3 linked regions of the Drosophila melanogaster genome follow. The protein of the gene in region 1 interacts with the protein of each later gene in a pairwise test. Each region holds a gene or a part of one and is shown on either strand. Other genes may lie near its edges.

Region 1 (3,756 bases):
AGACCTGCTCGGGAGCCCACTCCAAATAGAGTGGGGCATTCTTGAATTTACTGTAGGCCAACTTCTTGAAAGCTTGCCTCGCCTCCAAAGGATCACAGTACTCGATAAGTGCCGTAACCCCACTGGGAGGAAGCACAATCCTGCCAATTGGGCCAAATCGACTAAAGATGGGGGTAATCTCTGAAATCTCTGTGGCCGCTGGCAAATTCTTGGCTAGTATAACAGTGTTAGAACGTTTCTTTGCGGGCTCATCAAATGCATCAAGACGAACGCCTTCTTCCTCCAGGAAGCGCTTCATCTCGATGACGACTTGGGTTTCTCCCAAAGCCAAGCGCACGGCGGCACTACTGCCACCATCGCTTGTGTCCAGGATGCGTTCCTTTGAGGTCTTGAATTGCTTGGCGAGAATTTCTGCAACAGCATTGGCACCCAGAAACAATGTGTTCCAGCCAATTGGTTTTTGGGCGTTCTTCTTGAGTTTCAAGGCCTTCTTTTCTTTGAATGACAGACTGGCATCGTTTTCATCCAAATCCTCTTTCGGATTCTTTTCGATGTCCTTGCTGGGCAGAAGGTGCAAGAGACGGCCATGGAAATCAGTGCCATCGAGGGTATTAAAAGCCTTTAATGCGTGCTCCGGCATCATGTACGTAACTGTACCAAAGCCCTTGATTTTTCGCGTTAGCTTGTCGAGGGGCAAGTTAACCTCCACCACGGGACCGAACTGCTCGAAAAGCTTGCGCAGATCCTCTTCGGTAGTAGTGTATGCTAGATTACGAAAGAATATCCTCCCGGACTCGGAGATGTCATCTTCTTTGGATAAACTGTCCTGCTGATGCTTCCACTTCGCATTGCCCGCATCGACGGCGGCTGGTGCCAATGGTTGTCCACTCTTGCTCGCTTTGGTCACCTTGTTCTTCTCTGTAAAGTCGGAGAAGAATACTTGCTTGCCCTTGATGAAACTCTTGTTTTTAAGCATTCCCTTGGCCATGTCTTTCTCAGTTTTAAAACCCACGTAGCAGAAGCCGTGAACTTTGCTGGGCAGCCGAACGGAGTACGGTTTCAGGGGCTTGAAAAACTTTAGCACCTCCTGGCGCTTGGTGTTGTATGGTACATTGTGTATTTTAATGGTGAACAGCTCCAAATTTGATTTATCCGCCTTGGCTTTGGGTTTCTTTGCAGTAGCTTCGCCGGATGTGGTTGCCATCAGGGATTTCATATACTCAAGATCGCTGATGGGCTTTTCGGCCAGTTTATCGGTGTCTTCTTCCTCATCTGCCTCATCGCCTGAGCCATCCTCATCTCCTGCATCTGCATCCACTCCACTGTCATCTCTGGCAGCTCGAGATTCTTCCTGTTCCTCATCATCCTCTTCTTCGTTCTCCCGATTTTTATTTATACCCAAATCGTTTCCCCACAGCGTTCGCGACTTGTCATGCGCCTCTAGAAACTCTTGGAATTCCGGATCGTCTTTGTGTCTGCTCAAAATTTGGTCCACCTTGTCAACTTTATCTTTCTTCTTCTTTTTCTCAGACTCCTTAGCCTTGGCAGCCGCCTCCCTTTCCTTCTCCTTCAATTTGTCTAGGTTCTTCTTGCTGTCCTTGGCGTACTTGCTCCAAGATTGTGGCTTATCTTCGCTGCCCAAGGCAGCACAGGATTCGACGCGCACCCGGCTGGTCTGAATGCATGTGTTGTCAAAGTGCCGGATGGCCGATTGGGCCTCCTCCTCGGTGCTGTAACCCACGAAGCAAAATTGCCGAAACTTTCCATCGGGCGTGTATTTTAGTTGCAGATCCGTAATCGTGCCCTGGGCACCAAAAATCTGACGCAGTTTGTCTTCGGTGATCTACAATTTCAGTTTAAGTAGATGCTTTTTTTTAACAAGTCTACATACTCACATGCTTGGGCAGCTGTTTGACTATAATTCGTGACATCTTTTGTGGCTAATTTGTCGGTCTGCAGCTAAAAACTCATTTAAGAAAACTTTTGTTTACAAACAAATTGAAACAACACGTGCATTAGATATGCAAAACGAGCGATAGTAGCATCAGTAGTATCGAAAGTCGAAATTTGTATACTATCGAAAAGTCTATCGTTTCATCGACTCTACTTTACGTTACATTTTACATGTAGATATTCAAATTTATATATTTTTTAAGTTGTGTTTCGATTATAATGGGTGATGGCAAATCAAAGCTGAATGAAAAAGTAAAATAACCTCGACTTCAAAACGTCACTTCGCTTGAGCATCCTTATATTTCCCCAGTTCAAGTTTAAAGGGTGGATTTTTACAAACTTACAACGTTGGAAAAGTTATATTTTGAAAGGAAACTCTTTAAGCGACTTATACACAAAGATACATGGTAATTGTATTGGCACATTAAACGTAGATGACAAATATGTTAATATATAAGTGTTTAGAATAGACTTCAGGTGGAGCTACGGTAGAGATATAGATATGCGATTGGATTGTCGGATTGTGGGAGTACAAGGTCTTGTGTGTTTCGTTTAGTGTCTCATTTTTAACATATAATACAGTCCGTTGCTGGCTTGAAACTGGTGAAGCACAGTTGGCAGTTGATTCTCGATGTGGCCATCATCCATCCTCTTGTATCCGTTGTATCATTATAGTATATGGCATACAGTAGGCGAACGATGATGCGTTAAAGCTTAACGTTGCTCAGTTGGTCTCCTTTGTGGATCCTTGGATCCTTGGGCTGGGTCACTAAACAGAATATTTCGGCTAAGGCACTAAAATTACATAATTTCATTCAACGTCTACGTTCTATCATAAATCTGATTTGTTCGTCTCGTCTCAGATCTTCGTTCTTAGTTAAAATTGAAGTAGTTGTTATGGGAAGTGGGGTTGTTCGCAGAGCTCTAGGGTTCCAGGCGATTGCGACTGAAGCAGCTATCGGGGAGAGCCTTGGAAATAAGTCCAATATTCTGGACTTCATCCTTGAGCTCCCTCAGCTCGGCATCGTACTTGTCGATCAGATTCTTCTGAATGGTGCGCTGTTCCCGGTACTTTTCGATGCGTCCCGTCAGGTTGACGCGATTGATCTCACCCTCCACAGTGGCCAAACGATTCTCTGCGAGATTAATTAGATTACTCATAAGTAAATTCAGATTAGAGAGGTTTCTGTTTCTTACCCAATCTATCCAAATCGCCCGTGTTGATGTCCTTCAGATTCTCCAGCTCATCCTTGATGGCCGTCAGGTCGGCATTGGCCTTCTCGATCTGCTTCTGGGCCTCCTGGGTATCGGCCTTGGCCTGACCCACCTTTCGCTTGGCGTCGTCCACCAGATTGTCGTCCTTGGTCGAGCTCTCCTCCAGCTTGAAGATGTCCATTTCGGTGAGTTTCACGCGATGATTCAGTTGGTCGGCCTCTTCGCGCAGATTGCGGGCAGCCACCTTGGTCTCATTGGCTTTGCGGCGGATCAGCTCAGCATCCTGTCAAGAAATTTTACGAATTTAGTAAGGATAATAAGATGTCCCTGAATGACTTACCTTGGAAGCCTGTTCGGCATACTTCAGCTGCGCCTCCTGGGCATTCTTCTTGGCCTCGTTGGCATTCTTATTGGCTCCATCGAGAGCCTCCTCCGCCTGGCTGATCAGGCTTTCCGCATTCTGAATCTCCTTCTCGATGTTGGGCACCGTCTGCAGGGCTTTCTCCGCACTCTCAGAAGAGCGCTGGACATCCGACTGGAAGCCGGCCAACTTCTCGTAGGTATTGTTGGCCTCCTTTAGGGTATTGT
Region 2 (3,365 bases), 6.9 Mb from region 1:
AGCAGCTGCCAGCTATGCCAGTTGGGCATAAATTCAGCTAATTGACGACTCACATATAAAAGCCCTTTTATTGACACTAAACAAGGCTGAAATGTACATACAAGTAAGCCAACTGACTGCGCAGCTCAAACCCACTCAGTGCGTATACGTAATGTTATGTTTGCTTTTGCCACAGGTTTGTAGCCCATAAGCCTGTTGACTTTAATTATATAAATACATAAGACCTTGCAACTATTCTGGGAATCAAGTCCTTGCTGGGGATTTATTGTGCAATCGAGCAATTTCTTAGTGTGTATTTACTTGATTCATGCTGCCATGTATAAAGATTTACTTAATTAACTCAAAAATTTGCATATTTCAATGAGGTGAAGAAAATAAATTTAAAAAAGGAAGAAGGGGATACATTACAAAAACTTATCTACTTTTTGTTGAACCTTTTAATCGCATTACTCTTCTTTTCCACTGCGCATTAAATATGCATTAATTATTAATAATCAATCAGGTGAAACTACATTTTCCAGGAATTTACAACTTTTCACCGCTATCTATAATAATGCATTAAACAATTTTTTAGTGTACTGTTCGAAAATTGTATTTTATTTAGACCAATTAAAAAACATCAACAACAATTAAAAGGTGGAACAAAACGTTAGCAAATCGCTGGCAAATTGAGAAATTTAAAATCTGTAACGCCTGATGGCACGATACTGGTAGCCATCGCTGCCCAGGACGGCACTCTCGCCTCCAGCTGGACCCTCCACGATGACCTCCTCGCCGCCGATCGGAGGCAGATACTCGGGAGCGGCCTCCCTCAGCTCGGCGGGCATCTCGGCCGGCTGCTGGTAGTGGTAGCCATCCTGGAGCAGTTGCCCAGAAACGGTGGGCACATCCACCACACGGACATCGGCTGGCTCCTCGGGTGCAGCCGCCTCGGTGGTTTCCTCAGCGGCTGGTGCAGCTTCCGTGGGCGGAAGGTACTCCCGGTTCACCTTGGGCTCGGCGGCGGACACCACCTCCTCGGTGTCATCGGCAGGTGGAGCTGCAGCTGCCGGAGCCTCGGGTGCAGCCTGCGCCTCCTGAGCAGGTGGCAAGTAGGCGGTGCTGGGTGGCAGATACTGCCTGGCTGGCTGCAAATGGGACACATCACGACGGTTGCGATGGCGCAGCTTAAGGCGGCGCACCGTGCGGTACTCGTAGCCCTCATCGCCCAGGACAGTGGCCTCCGGATCGGCTTCCAGGGCAGCAGGATCGGCATGAGCCTCAGCCTCCACAGGCTCAGCGTTCAGGAGGACAGCCTCGGTGACCGAAGGAGGCAGATATTCCACTGCAGCGGGATCCACCAGTTCCGAGACATCGCGGCGCAGCCGAGATTCCAATTGAGGAGCACCTAGGGCCACACTGGCCACAGCGGAGAGGGTAAGGACACCACCAAGCGAGAAGATTTTCTGGAAAATAAGTATTAGTTAGTGGAAGTATTTTCATGGGCTTGTTGAATTTTATTTTGCATTCTTTATTTAAGCCAAAATCCATTTTAAATTCCTCCTTTCCAAGTAGAATTTTGATCAATTTATTTGATTTGTTTAGCGACTTTACTTAATCCTTTGCAGCAAACTCAAATCCTTGAGGACTTACCATTTTTCAAGTTTGCCTTTTCGGGTTTACGATTTGCGTCTTGCAATTGAAAGTTGCCTGAGCTGATTGATGATTTGCTAATGGCCAACTGCTCAATATATAGCCAAAAGCGAGTTCGGCCATAATTAGAGAAACCAAAAACAAAAAGGCCAGTAACAAATGGAGCCACTTCAGAGTGGAGTGCTCTTCTTGGGTGCTTCGTCTTGCCTCAGTTTTGCTTTGGACAATGTCAAGTGGTCCAGGTTTTGGACCTCGTTCGTCGACTTGACCTTTAGGCACCGCATTTTTATTTCAATTATTTTCATAACGTTTTTTCTTCGAGCTGTAAATATATATTTTTTGAGGTGTTAATTCACAGGCCTGTCGAATTGTGCGGAAGTACTCTTTGAGAGTCTTCTATTCTATTTTCTCATCATATTTGGATCGCTTTTTGCACAGCTAATTGCCTGGCGGTGAATAATTAAGTTAATTTTAATGCGTATTACATGGAAAATGGGCGCAACCAACCCAGCTGTCACAGCCAATGAAATTGTCATCAGAACTTGTTGCGAAAATTATTTATTGCTTTCATTTTCGACCATGTATTTGCGTTTGTTAACCAAACACCGAGGGTCATTTAATAGGCATAAACATAATTGTGCATATTACATTTACCAAATTCAATTGCGGTCTTTATGCCGAAAAAAAAATTGATGAGCTCGCAAACACTCTTTGTTACTTTTATCTATAAAAAGCAACTACTTTGATATGTAAATGTATCAATCAATCATCCATCCATATAGCAATACTAATTTACGTACTTATTGTTATTTAAATTAAATGCCAGTCATTATTTGGTGATACCTTTTACGCAACTGTAACCCATGTTTACATTTACCTATATATATATATTAACCACATCTGAAAGCCAATTTCGCTGTCCTGTCAGCCAAGCATAAATTTGCCCTACTTAGCCTGGCGTTTAATTTTTCTGGTGGCATTTAATGAATTGTTAATGAACGAGTGCGACCCGTGCCATCGTATATATGGTTATAAGTTGGTAAGAGATTTGTACTCCCACGGCGGGATAAACCCACACCACCGTGCTGCATGTGGCACATAAATCATTCCCTGGTTGTCGGCCTAAAAGGCGGCAACAATTTCCGTTGGCTCTTAAAGTTTCCGCCGCAACGCAATAATTCTTGCCACACCGATCGACCCGTAAAAAGAAGACCAACTTGTTGCTTAGCCAAGTTTAAAGTGTCGAAGGAGGAGGCCCAGCTTTTCTTGCCCAGCTTCTTTGCATAAAAACCACTCATGTGTAATATTTTATGTTTGCAGGACGAGTGCGGTGGTGTATTTGCCGACTTTTTTGCCTTGCCATGTGGGGGAAATAATTTATAGCGAAACCCGGCATAGGCAGAAAAAAAAACCCAGAAACATGCAGATGGCATATAGGATATGTTGAGACATAAATTGTGCGGGGCTCATTGATTTCAGTCTGTGTGTGTTTGATTTCGATTCTATACATATGTAAAACTTTGTCTATTTGCCTCTTGCCTGTTTGTTTCACAGTCAATTTGCATGTTGGGTCAATGAAACGAACCATTGAGGACTTTAAGCTAGGGATGGCAGGGATATCGATGGATAGGACAACTTATGTCTTGAAAGCATTGTAAAATATAAACGGCAATCGAATGAAGGTGAGGGGTTCTCCACTTTTATTTACTTCGGTTAAGTAAACATACATATTT
Region 3 (3,756 bases), on another chromosome or scaffold:
CTCTGAAATCGAAGGATTGGGTGGGTTTTTTTTTTTTGGCACAGCTTTGGTGTATTATCAGCCCATCTCTTCTATTCGCTGATGAAACATAAAGTTTGATGCACACAATGCTAATTATAATTTTTACCAATTTCTGCATTCGGTCCAGTTTCCATTTTTTTTGCTTTATTTTTGTTTCCCTCTTTCAGTGTTACCAGCTGTTGTGCTGAACATTTCACAGATGCCAATTTTTGGCTACATTCGAAAGCTTTGCAACACTCGAACTTTTCGAAATGAAACCGCCGCCAAATTCAAAATGTAAAGCGAAAATCTTTGCCATTGAAATCATTCAATAAAAACATAATTTGTAATCAATCAACTTTTATTTAAGAAAATCATATTAATAATGTACATTCAATGCAATTCGTGTCCATATTCTTGCGGTCATCTTTAGTTTCTGTAAAAAATAAGAAATCGTGTCATTAGTATGGAGTATTTGCATTTATTTCAATATGCTTTTCTTTGATAAATATCAGTATTCTCATTTTTATTGAGAAGAGTCAAGGTTCTTCAGCAATTTGTTTTATGAAGACCGTCATGATTTTATCATCAGAATGCCAGTTAATAGCTGCCTTACAAAATAATATATTTTACACACCTTTTAATGGAATAGCTGGCTGCACGACTGCTGAAATGCTGTGGAAACTGAGAGAAGAACTGGAGAAAACCCATGGTTAAAGTTACTTTTTTTTGTTTTATTCAAAAAGAATAATTGCTACAAATATTATCGCCCGAATGGTAGTTGTCCGCTCTAGTACTTCTTGAAGCTCTTCTTGGCTCCCTGACCCTTGCTGACTTTCAGGACGTTGAAGCGCACAGTCTTGGACAGAGGACGGCACTCACCAATGGTGACAATATCGCCATGCTCAACATCTCTGCAAATTAAGAAATAGCACGGATTAGTAGGAGGCCCTACAGTATAAGCACAAAGCTAGCGCACAAGGCTTAGTTTCAGTATTTTTACATTTAGTAAAAAGAGTCAAGTTCTTTCAGCAATTTGTTTTATGAAGACCGTCATGATTTTATCATCAGAGTATGAGGTATTAGGTCTCTTTTTACATCTTCCATGTCATGAAGATGGAAAAAGGGTTTTAGCTCTAGCTTTATTGATATGTTTACCTGAACACAGGGGAGCAGTGGACGCTCATGTTGCGGTGACGCTTCTCGAAACGGCTGTATTTGCGCACAAAGTGCAGGTAGTCGCGCCGAATGACAATGGTGCGCTGCATCTTGGCCTTGCGGACCACGCCGGTCAGAATGCGACCACGGATCCTCACATCACCGGTCCAGGGGCACTTCTTGTCGATGTAGGTACCATCGATGGCCTATAGCAGGGGGAGTATACGAATGTTGTTAGTGAAGGAATTCTACGCATTTCAAGGGCTATCTCCTGGGCATCACCTCACGTGGGGTCTTGAAACCGAGTCCCACATCGCGGGAGCGACGCAGCAGCTTCTTCTTGGTGATACCGGGCTTGACCTTGCGGTTTAGGTTGACACCGAATTGTTTTTGGAAGGCGCGCTCGTTCTGGTTAGTTAGTCGTTCGGTTGGAATCGTGTTTGGGGTTCAAGGTGGCGGTGGTGGTGGTGTTGTCGGATCAACAGGCAGGCGGCAGGCACGGGCGGGAACATTCGGCGTGCGTGGGAAGGCGTGAAATGGAAAACAAACGAAGGGGGCGCAACATTAGTCGTGGTTTGTTCGGCTTCCTCTTACCTCCGCCGGAGCGCGGAAGCCCAGGCCAATTTGGCGATAGAAACGGGGCCTTTTCTTCAAGTTGGGGCTCTTGCGACGCACAACGACCACCGCGTGTTGCTTGCGGAACGAGCGTTCGGTTTGCTGCAATATACATCATTTCGTGTTCACTATTGGCGACACCATGCGCTAAAGTGGGGTTAGGGCGAAGCTGGTCCAGGCTACGCTTCCCAGTGCGTTTGTTCGCTGCTCCATAGGTTCATCCATTCACTGGTCACTTACACTTCAGAGGGCATCTTGTTGCGGGTTCGCATCAGCCGTTTAACCCGCGTATTTCATTTATTTAGCACACTCTCGTGGAATCTTACCTGATCAGCCATGTTGATGAAAAAGGAAAGAACGATTCAGAGTGACCGTTTGCTCAATGGCGCCGCAAGTGGGACCGTCGCACAGCGGTGCCGAAATACCAAGCTGATGAAGGCGGTAACTCAGGCTCTGTTAAGGTCAATGTTAGGCATTTTAGCACAGTGGCTTTTATTAGTAAAATATTGTGGCTAACATATAACTACATCATTTGATAACATACAACACTATACCCTTTATAAAAACTATAATTTAATTAAATTATTATATTATTATTTCAAGTATATTGTATTATTTTGATTTGAATATTATCTTGTGCTGTTAAGCTAAAACTTATTTTAACATTAACAGATAGTTTAACATTGGCATTTATCCAGTCCTGTTTGCAGTACAAACTCAAACCATGGTTGAAAGCTGTGCTAAGCACCAAACGTATTCCGAAAGATGGCGCCCTTGTGCAAATGGGGTTTTGGCTTTTTGAATATTTTATTTGGCGCACTCGAATTTGCATATCTGCTGATTCAGATAGTTTGTCGCCGCTATTGACCTTCATCTACTCGCCATTGACTAAGAATATTTAGTCAAAGCCAAGCCATGTTTTTCTCAAGCACCACTCAAGTACATAGTGCTCCACGCCAAGAAAAAAAAAAGGAAAATGCCTTTGTGCCTGCATTTTGTGGGCTTTCTTTTATTTGGCGGCACACAAACTCGCCGCACTTACAGGCGAAATACCTAGAGCGCTAATTCTCCACATGCCCCACGAATACGTCGGATTAAAAGTAATGACAACGTAAACGAGTGCCAGAAGAGCGGCCTTGAAATGCCGCCCACTTTCAAGGCGCAATCAGCAGCCGCGGCGGGCGTTGCAGCTGCTATAAATCCGTTTACGGCTAAACGTCACGGATGTGGCAAAGAATGCAGGACGAAGGAGGCTGCATTCGCCCAGGCTCTGCCTGGTTTTCATTGCCATTGTTAATGCAGCTGTCTGCAGCATAAAATTGCGGCAAGCATTGCTGCAGCTGCTGTTGCTGCTGCTGCTTTTGCTGCTGCTGTTGCTGCTGCTGATGACCTTAACCTGCAAAAAAAGGGGCCTGTGGGCGGGGCAGGAGAGGTTGGAGCTGCATTAGGCGTGGCATGCGTGTGAAGCTGGCGAAGGTTTTCCCAGTCGGCCCCTCGCCACGCTCGGCAATTTCACCTTGCCGAGCTCTGTGACGGCAATGAAATCCCTTTACAGTCCCTTAGCTGCTCCGCCACCGCCCATCGTCGCCACCCATCAAGGCCATTTTATCCCGCCTGCTCGTCGTTTTGGAAATTCCTCAGGTAAACTGAAACTGGTTGGGGTTGGGCTTATGGTTTACCTGTTACTATTGCGCCTTATGCGGCCAGGACATCATTCGGCATAATCGATTAAATAAGCCCCGGGACATCATAAACAGCAGTAAGAAAGTTTATAACTGTTTCGCTTTTGTTTCGCTCGCTTATTATTATGATTTCCATGCTCATTGCCATTTCGGGTGTGGTGTTACTCTTGTTTGCCCGCGCAAATGAAAAAACTTTTCCCAACTGCCAAAGTTCGGCCAGTCAACAGTTTAAAATCGATGCTGGCTTATTTGTTAAAGAGTCGAAATTCAATGGTACCAATGGCATAGCATAACTTGAATT

The links.
Region 2: the proteins of CG3335 (region 1) and CG4229 interact in a two-hybrid assay, tested with the Drosophila melanogaster proteins (one large-scale study listed by BioGRID).
Region 3: the proteins of CG3335 (region 1) and RpS11 interact in a two-hybrid assay, tested with the Drosophila melanogaster proteins (one large-scale study listed by BioGRID).

The regions. Positions count from the first base shown.
Region 1 is NT_037436.4:9,622,512-9,626,267, reverse strand, and holds the start of CG3335 (uncharacterized protein), read right to left. Parts: upstream 2,032-3,756; 5' UTR 1,932-2,031; coding exon 1,896-1,931; intron 1,844-1,895; coding exon 1-1,843. Other genes in the region: LanB2 (laminin B2), read right to left, coding at 2,878-3,089, 3,151-3,451, 3,509-3,756.
Region 2 is NT_037436.4:16,555,166-16,558,530, reverse strand, and holds CG4229 (uncharacterized protein), read right to left. Parts: upstream 1,709-3,365; 5' UTR 1,636-1,708; coding exon 1,633-1,635; intron 1,446-1,632; coding exon 678-1,445; 3' UTR 573-677; downstream 1-572.
Region 3 is NT_033778.4:12,198,676-12,202,431, forward strand, and holds RpS11 (ribosomal protein S11), read right to left. Parts: upstream 2,141-3,756; 5' UTR 2,112-2,140; coding exon 2,100-2,111; intron 1,876-2,099; coding exon of another isoform or gene 1,753-1,875; intron 1,567-1,752; coding exon 1,441-1,566; intron 1,365-1,440; coding exon 1,159-1,364; intron 1,078-1,158; exon of another isoform or gene 987-1,077; intron 915-986; coding exon 791-914; 3' UTR 638-790; intron 599-637; exon of another isoform or gene 508-598; intron 437-507; 3' UTR 349-436; downstream 1-348. Other genes in the region: CG8858 (uncharacterized protein), read right to left, coding at 1-2, 128-155.